Linked DNA regions of Tribolium castaneum. The protein of the gene in region 2 binds, or shares a complex with, the protein of the main gene of each other region. Links are inferred from orthologs where the notes say so. Each region holds a gene or a part of one and is shown on either strand. Other genes may lie near its edges.

Region 1 (2,979 bases), on a different chromosome or scaffold from region 2:
AAACTAATATAAACCCCATCGAGTGACCCCTCAAACTTCACCGCCTGAACTGGACATTACAAAAACACAAAAATGTGTAGGTCTTTTATGGCTCCTTAAAGAGATAGCAAAATGACTATTGAAAATTACAATTTCAACCAGACCGTCGCTTAGACTACATCAAGTTGCATCTTTTCTCTCATAGAACAAAATTGCGCCCAACGCTTAGTTTCCGAGATATTTAAAGAATTAGGTTCAAATTCAAATTTTCGCGCCTGCGTTTATTTTTAAGTTTTTTGAGCACGTTTTTCAGGAAGCAGCGTGATTTTTTAAGTTTTTCAATTTTTATCGAATTACGGCTAAACTATTCGAAAAAGTGGAACTATTTTGATCCTTACCTATGCAAAATGATCCGGGAAATCGATTGACATCGAGAAAATCGCCAAATTCCCGATAGTTTTTTAGTTATGATTTTTTTAATGTTTCCAATTTTTGCTTTTGCTTGCAATTTTCTCGAAAACTATTAGTCGGAGAACAATAATCATTTTTGAAAAAAATAGATAATCCAAAGAGCTTTCCAACGATTATAAACTTTATAGGGTTATCTCTAATAGTTCAATTAACTTTTTTGCACTTTTAAGGGACGCAAAAGGGTTTATTAAAATAAACAAAAATACAATTTATTGAACATTATTTCACATCATTTTGCACGCTTTCTGGCACAACTCTTGCAACCTTCCTGGCCTCCTTCACAAACGTCTTGGAGCACTGCATCTCCGTCCAGCTCACAGGCACCATAAGCCCCCCATGTTCCGAGTGCGCCGTCACGACCCCCAGCTCATTCTCAGCCGTGGACAACTGATAAGTGTGAGCTTCCGTGATCGGCAAAACCCTCGCCAGAATCACGTCCCCGGGCCTGAAACTCTTGTAAATCTCCACGCGGTCCTTCTCCGTCGCTCGCACGTCCTCCTTCCGCAAAATCCCGCGATACTGCCGCCCCAAAACCTTATCCCCGACACACTTAATGTAGCATTTGCAAAACTGCTGCGTGATTGTGTGAATTTGCGCTGTGACGATGTCGCCCTGTGACGGCACGAGCGTTTCCTGCCCGGAACTGCGCACTTCAATGATCTGGACGTTGTCTTTGGGGACAATGTCCACAACACCGGCAAGGGTGGCGTAGATGTAGCCCCCACGCTCGTACGTGCCTTGACCGGACACGTGCGAGGGGTCCGACAGGCACAGCCGCTGCCCCGGGAGGCACACAAGGGGCGATGACATGCCCAAAATCAACAAAAAACGAAATTTTTGATTTTTTTTGAGGTTAAGTCAAATGTCAATTGACATGAAGAAATTTCAAAAACTGCGTGTTCCTTTTACTGTCAATATTATTATCACGGCAGACGACGTTCAAAGCCAATCAAAGGCACACAAGGAGCTATAACATGCGAAAAATCAGCACAAAAACGAAATTTTTGATTTTTTTGAGGTTACGTCAAGTGTCACTGTCAATTGTCAAAAAACGAATTTGCAAAATTTTACTTTCTCATTCATTAATTAACATTAATTACCAATTACGACCATTAATTTGGCTACAGAATTAAATAAACTGGTTTATGTTATGTTTATTTAACTACTCATTACACCCTGTATATACATACAACGTAGAGATAAACCTAAAAAAATAATGCCTTACTTATTAGAATGATTTTTTGCCACCTAACCCCACTTTTTTGACAGCTGTCACCCCTCGTGTTTTGTTTTTTTTTGGGGGCTTTAGCCTGATAATGGGTGATTCCGTGGCCGAATTGTTGCAGTTTGTGCATCTGGGGGCCCGTTTGGACCTCAAATCGGTGGCTTTGGGGCACATTTTGGGTAATAGGGTTCGAGGTTAGACTTGTTTTTTGTAATTTTTTTGTAGGTTTGACGGGGAATGCGGACGGAATTGCCACATTAATCAACACACCGTCACTTCTGGTCTCCTTAATCACACTTTTGAGTGATAATAACGCCACAATTGTCAAAGACTCGGCACTTTGCCTTGTTAATGTCTCTGCTGATCACAAGGGGGCCCTGGCATTGCTTGATTTGGACACGAGTGTGGGGTGCCCCCCTTTACAGAGCCCCCCGAGTGACATTACTTCGACTGTTGTTAAATTCGTGACGGACCCCATGAGTAAAATCGCCGATTTTTCCTGCATGATTTTATCGAACTTATCTCGGGCCAATCACGATAAAGTGATTGATGCGCTTGAGAAAAGCGCAAGTTTGGACGATTTGATTGACATTTTCACGAAAAAACAGTACAATAAAGCGGGGGCTAACCTCCACTACTTGAGCCCCCTTTTTTCGAACTTGTCGCAAAGTGGGCGCGTCCGGAGACGCTTCCTGGACCGGATCCACAAACTCGTGCCTTTCATTGAATTCGAGGAGTCGGCCGTGAGGCGCGGGGGCGTCGTGGGGGCCCTGCGTAACTGCACATTTGACCCCGAGTGTCATGAGCTGCTCTTGGGCCCCCATGTCGATATCTTGCCCCGGCTGCTCCGCCCCCTGGCCGGAAACGAGGAATTTGACGACGAAGACAACGACAAGCTCCCCCTTGAACTGCAATATCTCCCGGAGGAGAAACAGCGTGAAGAAGATCCAGATATCAGGTGCATGTTACTGGAGGCTTTGACCCAGTTATGTGCCAAGAGAAAAAATCGAGAATTTATCAGAGAGAGAAACACTTATGTGATTTTGCGCGAGTTGCACAAGTGGGAAAAGGACAGAAAGGTGCTTTTAGCGTGTGAAAATTTGGTCGATATTTTGATACGCACCGAGGAGGAAATTGGAGAAGATGATTTGAAGACACTTAAAGTGCCCCAAAGTTTAAGCGAAGACTTCAATAAAGCGGATGAGCAGTTTTTAAAAGATGAATAAATTTTTTTACAATTAAATTTCGTCTTTCTATATATTTCAAAAATATATAATTTCGGACGAATTAGTTCGGGTGACAGA
Region 2 (4,402 bases):
TTGAATATAATAGTCTGTTTAGAGCAATTTTTCGAAATGTTTTAAAAATATGAATACACAGGGTGATCCCAGAGATTCGAAAATACTAAAAAATTAATCTTTTTACAAAAAGCGTAAATACCAAGCCCCTGGCCCACCTAAACTATATAATTTTCAAGTATACAGATTGTTTCCGAAATTTATATAGATGTAATACAAACTTATGTTTTTTTTGCTTTTGCATTTTTAGATGTAGCTTTTAACACTAACGTTTTTTAGCTAATTTTTTATAGGCCAATTTTACTTAGTTTTTTAAAATAATTTATTCTTCGACACTGTCAAAATTTACGGTTTTTCTCCTGTGTAAGGAAGTTTTGACAACTGTTTGGCATTTCTCAGTACGAAACGTCAGAATATTTTTAACAAATTTAAAGCAATTTTAAGCCTTGCTGAGTCTATTTCGAAAAATAAAATGTTGTATTCAACTCGTTTTTGTGTAAATCGGTTCTTTTATTTCGCCTCGTGGATGATAAACCACTCGTTTTCACTCGTGGTTTAAAAATCCACTCGTGAAATAAAGCGTCCGATTTACACTCAAACTCATTAAATAAATAACTATTAATTTTGACAAAAACAAGCTTTTTAAAAAATGTTACAAAAAATTAAGAATTCTCGAAAAGTAGGATTTTCACCGATTTAAAGAAAAAAGTTTAAACTTAAAGAATACATTTTTTTTAACTCACTGCATTCAAAAAAATAAAAAGATGAAGAGGTTTGTTGTAAGTTTAATAATTTAAAAAATTTTAATGGAACAACTTACCTTTAATTTTTGTATCTAAAAGAACTTTAAAATGTATTTATGGTGAATCTTTAAAACCCCAACAAATCATCCGTGATAGAGTTACTATAGTTACTATTGTCAAGAATAATTAAAATTGACTTTAAGGCTTAACTACACCGGTTCGGCTTATAAATAAAGCTTAACAAAGCTAGGCTTACAGGTATGTAGAGTTTAAATAAATCGAGTTGCACTGTGATTTTATCTGTTAATCCGACAATTGCCAGTCAATTAGTTGTCAATAGCACTCAATAATTTACAAATAAGGAGAAATGTAGATTTTTTATTACTGCTATCAAGAGTAAAAAATAATTCAAAGAAATTAAAAATAAAAAGTACTTGCTTAAGTTTTTAACTTTGTTATAAAAAAAAGTTTTGCTGTAGAGACGACTAAAGAGAGCTAAATGTGTAAACTTTCTTGTTTAGATATAACGTACCAACAAAAATTTAGGGTATAGCTTAGGTATATTAGTATAATATTATATAACTAAGCAGAATCGGCCAATCCAACTTTACATAAAAATCATCAGTATTAAAAGTTGCGTTCAAAAATACAATCACATTTAGAGTGCTCCATTTAAAAAACATAAGTTTGTATTCTACAGGGTGAGTCAATAGCGGATTATTTCTGACATGTCCTAAGATGCAACCAAAAATAAACTTACCACTTGAAGACTGACCATAAGGAAATTTTAGCAAAACGGTTAAAACAAATTTGACATTTTGATTGCCCAAACAATGTAATCGTGGATTAACTTTGAGATTTTTTAATGATTTCCAATATGGTTTGCTGGAATCAGCAGTATTATATATAATTGATTGCATATTAACAAAAATCGGTAAATAACCCACTATTGAGTCATCCTGAATTTCATTTCTGAAATACTCTATATTTGAAAATAATAATTTAGTTAATTAATTTAATTAATTTAGATCTGCAAATTTTATAAAGAAAAAGATTAATTTCCTAACGTTTAAGTCATTAATGGACTTTTTCAAGTCGCTGAGATTTTTACTCCAATATCTGATGTAAAACAGAAAAATGACTTACTCTTGCCTGTCTTCATATTCTTCTAAAAATATGGCCAACGGTTTCAGCGAATTTGGTTTTTCCGTAATCCTCGGAGACCAAGGCGTCTTATTCCTGTTATCAATTTGGTCCTTGAAAAATTTCTGGGGCCTAATAATATTCTTGGCGGTAATCAGTTTGATACAGTTCTGGCCACTTGACTGAAAGTACGTCGTTAAAAAAGCCCAACTGAAAGTGAAAATTGCACTACCTCAGGAACAACCGAACTCACAGTAACAGTGGCAGCGGTTTGCCGATTCCAAGACCCATTCACAGGCAACTGGGCGCTGACCGTTTGCAACACCACTGGTGCAACCACCGTTTTGCGAATCCCGTTCATTTCGTCGATATTATTAGCAACTTTTTCAAGAATTATATCATTTGCCTCAATCACAAGCTCGATTTTCTCGTCCAAAACACGGTTCCTTAGATTACTGTCTAGATCATTGCAACGCATAACTTGGTTCATTAAACGCAAGACGTGATTGCCTTCCACTTTCATGATTTCTTTGAAGGAGTCGGAAATGTTGTAAAAGTCCCAGTCGCGACCCGACGGTAACGCATTGGAGTGCTTGATCGCCTCCATTAGGACCTTAAAGCCGTCCTGAAAGCCCCACGTTAGGACATAACCTCAAAAATACCAAAATGAGCAACCTTCGTAAACTGCTCCATGGACGAGTAGCCCGGGATAATCTCCGAGTCTTTACTTGCTCCCTCAGGGTGCTCCTGAGCTTTGTCACCCATTTTAAGCTCCAATAATTCACTTGTTCACTTTCATAACATAACCACAACTTTTGACAAGTGACAGACGACAAGAAGTTGTAATGGAGGGGGATTTTGAAAAAATATTTTGGAGGATTGAATTTTTTAAAATTCCTTTTGCCGTTTTTATTTATGGTTTCATTTCATTGGAACCAAAAACTGTTAATTTGAACGTAAGGGAGTATTAATTTGAAACACGATACGCAAATGGTGCGAAGCCTCCCACTTTGGAAGTAAAGTTTGAGCGAATGCAATTACCATGAATGGTATGTAATTGCGTTTTAAAACTACTGAAACTGCTTTCTGAATGTTAACAACAAACTTCTAAAGTTACAGAAATAAGAGGTCAACAAGTTTGGTTTGATTCTGATTTAAGTAAAAATGTAATCGTTAATAACACACGTAATCAACATTTGCAATAACAATTAGCGCCTCTGGTTATTTAGCAAAATGTCTCCGGAATACACCGAAATGGTGGCGGCGATAGCCTTTGGGGTCTTGTCGGCAATTTTTGTGAGTGCTTTCGTTGTCCTTGTAATAATATGCAGAAGACAGCGGCTTTACTACAAGTCCACGTATCTGGACAACCAGAACGAAATGTCTCGGTACGTCCACCCAAAAGTTAACAACAAACAATAATTCCGAATTCTAGGCCCGAAGTGATGCTAATTGAGCCCGAAAAAGCCGAACTAGAGTTGGGGGAAGTCCAGTTAAACCCAAACCTTGAGCAAATCCTCGCTGACGAACAATGGATTGACGACGCCACTGGTCTGATCCCCCATTGCCTCTCGATTTTGAAAACTTGTAGGTTCCTAACGGAGCGCCTAACTGCACTGGCAATGGGCACAACTCAGGCCTCGGGCAGCGGCCTCTCCCTTATTGTCGAAGTAAAAAATAAAAACTCGTACCAACAAATTTTAATATTTAATTTCAGAGCGCTAAGAGAATTTCAAGCAGAGTGGACGACATGGTCCGAAGTATGTACCCCCCTTTGGACCCCCGATTGTTGGAAGCCCGAGCTGCAGCTTTGTCTTTGGCAGTCAGTCATTTGGCCCTCATTGCGAAATATGAGTGCGGACAAAGAGACAAGAGTTTTAGTTGGATTGACAAGTCTTTGGCCGAAATGGACGGACACATGGTGGTACGTATAGGAAAAAAAAAGCGCAAGTTCAGGAAAGTGTTGCAGGTTTTACGAGAGGCTGCAGTCACTCAGGAGGCTTCAGGCAAGATACAAAGCGTCATAAACGCAAGTTATAACACCAGTGTTTAGAAATTCATGAACAACGTATTTAAGTAAGATAAAACCACAGCGTCCTTGATTAATGAAGGTTTCCTCCTATGTGGCGCCATCTGTTAATTTTTTCTCTTTATTACCATGGTTACGAAGTGGGTTCAAATGCGTGAGTTCAAACGTGGTAGAGAAATATATATCCAAATATAGAAACAGAATAAAGAGTCGGGGTTTCCCCACAAAGATACATTGGCTTTCTTAAAATTGCGTTCTTTTCCAATGCAGGCTACAAATTTTAGTGTTGAATCTTATTTATGATGCCGATGATTGTGGAAAATAATGTAGGTAAACAGTTCCTCGAAAAATTATAGCTTCATTTTGGAGTTAAAAATTCTTTAATTTTTGTTATTGACTGTTTTATTTTCAAGAAAAATTGATGTTTTTGGGAAAATGTGAGTTAGAAAAAGGAGTTAAAAACATGTAAAAAAAGTTAAATTCAACATTGCTTTGATAAAAATACCGG
Region 3 (3,046 bases), on a different chromosome or scaffold from region 2:
TATTAGTGTTGGATTTCGGACGAGTTTTTATTCAATTGATTTGTTTCTAGATAAAACAGTAACGATCATTGAACCGTGCCCCACCAAGACTTCAGTGTTAGCCTTGGGTGTGACTTGTGCCTTATTAGTTCTACTTTACATCAGTACGCTGTTCTGTTACTACATGAAGAAGTGGTTAAATCCCGGGAAACACATCGCTTGAAGATTTAGAGACACTTTGGTGCTTTAATCAAGTTTGATCTTTCGGTTGAGTTGACGAGCAGCATTGTTAGTTCTGTGATATCGTTAACTCGAGATGAGATATCAAATAGGGAATTCCCCGACTCTACATTATGCAATATGTATTTTTTAAGGATTTTTTTTCGGGAAGGTGGCGGCCTTGGTGATGGAAGCTTTATTTTACCGTTGCAAAAGTTATACTTTCTTGATCTCTTATTAAAACTAATTTGCACTGACTCTCGTTCCTAGAGCAAATTTTGTAACGGTAAACAGTCTAATTCGTGTACTTATTTATTTTATTTATTTACTTTTTTGTATATATCTCGACTAGGCTAACATTATTTATATCGATTATTTTATACACGTTCTCAAGTCGAATAATAGACATTTTTTATAAGAAAAAACTATTTATTATGAATTTTCCAACATGCTTAACCTATCCTGAGTCAAAATTGCTACATCGACCATAGCTTCAGGAATCAATAATTCAGCCACTGAATATTTCTGTGATTCTTCAAAAGCATACAAAATGCTAGTATCGTACAGCATCATTTTACTTTGAATAAGCGCCAAAATACAGTTTCGAAGACGTCCAATTGTTTCTCTTTCTGGCCTTGAAACGACCTAAAAACACCACAGTAGCAAAAAAAAACAACAAAACTATTGTGAGACACAACTTGTTCCAAATTTTGCACAAAGCCACCAGCGTTATCCTCAGCATTTGAAACAGTTGGATAAATCCAAATAAACCCATTATTGCCCAAAATAATACTAGCCCCAACATAGAAATTGTGAAAATGTGTTTTGCTCCTTTTAATGAGCGAGGGAAAGACTTTAACTAAAATACCTTGAGAAAGCTACAATCAAAAATGAACGTATAATCAAAACGTAACGAAAAACACGAGACAAACTTTTCCATATTTCAAACTTCTAGTATGTAAAGATAAAGAACCATCTGAATAAACGCTCTGTACTTCGGCACTTATAAGATCGCCCTCTTGAAGATATTGTCTCATCATATGCTCGTCTTCTGCTGATCTACGCCGCTGAAATTTAATATTGCCAACTTACTTGCAAAATTAACGACCAAAAAAATCTTTTATGTACCAGTTCCCCTCCTGGTAAATTAACGGAAGACAACAACAAGACCGAATCCAGACGCGAATTCGTATCAACTTTCCAGCGTTTTTGTTGGACTTCTGTGACTCGTCCAACCACCACATCACCCACTTCACCATTATATCGACTTTTTAACGGACGAATCGAAATCAAATTATTTACTTGTTCCTTAACTCCAGCAACTGATGATTTTAAAAAACCCTCTTCTTCGTACGTACCATGCCCTCTATTTAGAAAAATCGCAAAATTTCAAAAAAAAACACGAGACAAACCTAACCTCATAAATTCATTTTGCTCCGTAATCACTTGTCCCGGAGTAAATATCTTTGGAACTCGACGGTTAACAGCAATTGAGGGGTTGATGCGATGAGCGGCAAGGCGTATGTGAATTTTTTGCGGCATGTTCTTGCAAAACACTCGAACCGCATTTGAGATTAGAAACAACAATTACTGGGTTAGGCAAGCAACAATACGCAAGTACGCAATCTATATAAAATTGTGACTTCTCTGTTATCAATCTGAATTATTATTGAAACTTGTTTTTAATTTTCTATTTTGTCGGTTTTATGTGTAATTTAATTATTAAAAGGAAATTTTTGTTTTTTGGTATTTTTAATGACTGTTGTGGTAGTCGTGCATGTCATTTGAAACATGTCATATGTGTTTTGACAATTGATAATTTTATTTAAGAAAAAATAATTGTATAATACCGGTCAGGTGAGGCAAAATTTTCTTTTCCACATTGAAATGAAAAAATTTTAAATTTGTTATTACCATAATGTAAGGCGTATTAGGAAATCAAAATTAAATTATTCTAACCTCACTTTTGCGATTTGTCTTACACACAAGTTAAAATTTATTGAAAATAATTCGTATATTGTTGTGTATTATAATAAATTGTGGTTCTCAAGGGGGAAATGATTATAATTCACAATGAATACGGGATCAACACAAGACATCGTAATTGAAGTTCTGCAAAGAGCCTCGAGTCAAAATCCAGAAGTGTTAAAACCGGCTGAAGCCAAATTACGGGAATGGGAAACTCAACCTGGATTTTACACAGTTTTATTTGTACGTATTGGGCAAAAAACACAATTAAATAATACACCATTCTTCAGAATGTTTTATCTAACCACTCGCTTGATATAAACGTACGGTGGATTGCAGTTTTGTATATAAAAAATGGTATTGAACGATATTGGAGAAAAAACGCACCAAAGTAAGTCACGCAAGTTGTAATGTACCTAACTAAAGTTAATGTCCATTTCTAGCGCTATTTTAGAGGCAGAAAAACAAAACATTAAACACGGTTTAATTTTAAGTTTTAACGAACCCGTTAGTCAGATTGCGGTACAAAGAGCGGTTTTAATTTCGAAAATTGCACGAATTGATTGTCCGAAAGAGTGGCCCGAATTATTTCCGACTTTACTACAAGTAATTGAAAGTCCTGATTCTCTAGTCCAACATCGAGGATTTTTAACTCTTCATCATGTAGTTAAAGCCATTGCTTCGAAACGGTTAACAGGCGATCGCCGTTTTTTCCAAGAGTTTTCCAGTAATATTTATTCGTTTGTGTTGAATTTATGGAATAATTTCACCGAACAATTTATGAATGATGTAATGAAAGGCGCAGCTTCGCAACTAGTTCTTACAAATTTGGAAAAAGCACTATTGACTTTGAGGATTTTACGCAAATTGACTGTTTTTG

Evidence for each region.
Region 1: Rrp6 (region 2) and Csl4 share a complex: the UniProt entries of both Caenorhabditis elegans proteins name them as parts of the RNA exosome complex. The link is inferred for Tribolium castaneum from reciprocal best matches to the Caenorhabditis elegans genes crn-3 and exos-1.
Region 3: Rrp6 (region 2) and Rrp4 share a complex: the UniProt entries of both Caenorhabditis elegans proteins name them as parts of the RNA exosome complex. The link is inferred for Tribolium castaneum from reciprocal best matches to the Caenorhabditis elegans genes crn-3 and exos-2.

Annotation. Positions count from the first base shown.
Region 1 is NC_087401.1:17,299,398-17,302,376, forward strand, and holds Csl4 (exosome complex component CSL4), read right to left. Parts: upstream 1,561-2,979; 5' UTR 1,474-1,560; intron 1,418-1,473; 5' UTR 1,261-1,417; coding exon 670-1,260; 3' UTR 614-669; downstream 1-613. Other genes in the region: protein HGH1 homolog, read left to right, coding at 1,767-1,854, 1,901-2,901. UniProt on the Caenorhabditis elegans protein: Non-catalytic component of the RNA exosome complex which has 3'->5' exoribonuclease activity and participates in a multitude of cellular RNA processing and degradation events. Involved in regulation of antisense ribosomal siRNA production.
Region 2 is NC_087398.1:13,230,870-13,235,271, forward strand, and holds the start of Rrp6 (exosome complex component 10 homolog), read right to left. Parts: upstream 2,804-4,402; 5' UTR 2,631-2,803; coding exon 2,541-2,630; intron 2,491-2,540; coding exon 2,098-2,490; intron 2,048-2,097; coding exon 1,869-2,047; intron 1-1,868. Other genes in the region: transmembrane protein 98, read left to right, coding at 3,099-3,253, 3,301-3,535, 3,583-3,789, 3,835-3,918. UniProt on the Caenorhabditis elegans protein: Catalytic component of the RNA exosome complex which has 3'->5' exoribonuclease activity and participates in a multitude of cellular RNA processing and degradation events. Involved in apoptotic DNA degradation.
Region 3 is NC_087397.1:170,275-173,320, forward strand, and holds Rrp4 (exosome complex component RRP4), read right to left. Parts: upstream 1,822-3,046; 5' UTR 1,741-1,821; coding exon 1,616-1,740; intron 1,565-1,615; coding exon 1,327-1,564; intron 1,266-1,326; coding exon 1,131-1,265; intron 1,077-1,130; coding exon 897-1,076; intron 844-896; coding exon 631-843; 3' UTR 607-630; downstream 1-606. Other genes in the region: uncharacterized protein tyn, read left to right, coding at 51-202; Impbeta11 (importin-11), read left to right, coding at 2,272-2,409, 2,457-2,557, 2,610-3,046. UniProt on the Caenorhabditis elegans protein: Non-catalytic component of the RNA exosome complex which has 3'->5' exoribonuclease activity and participates in a multitude of cellular RNA processing and degradation events. Involved in regulation of antisense ribosomal siRNA production.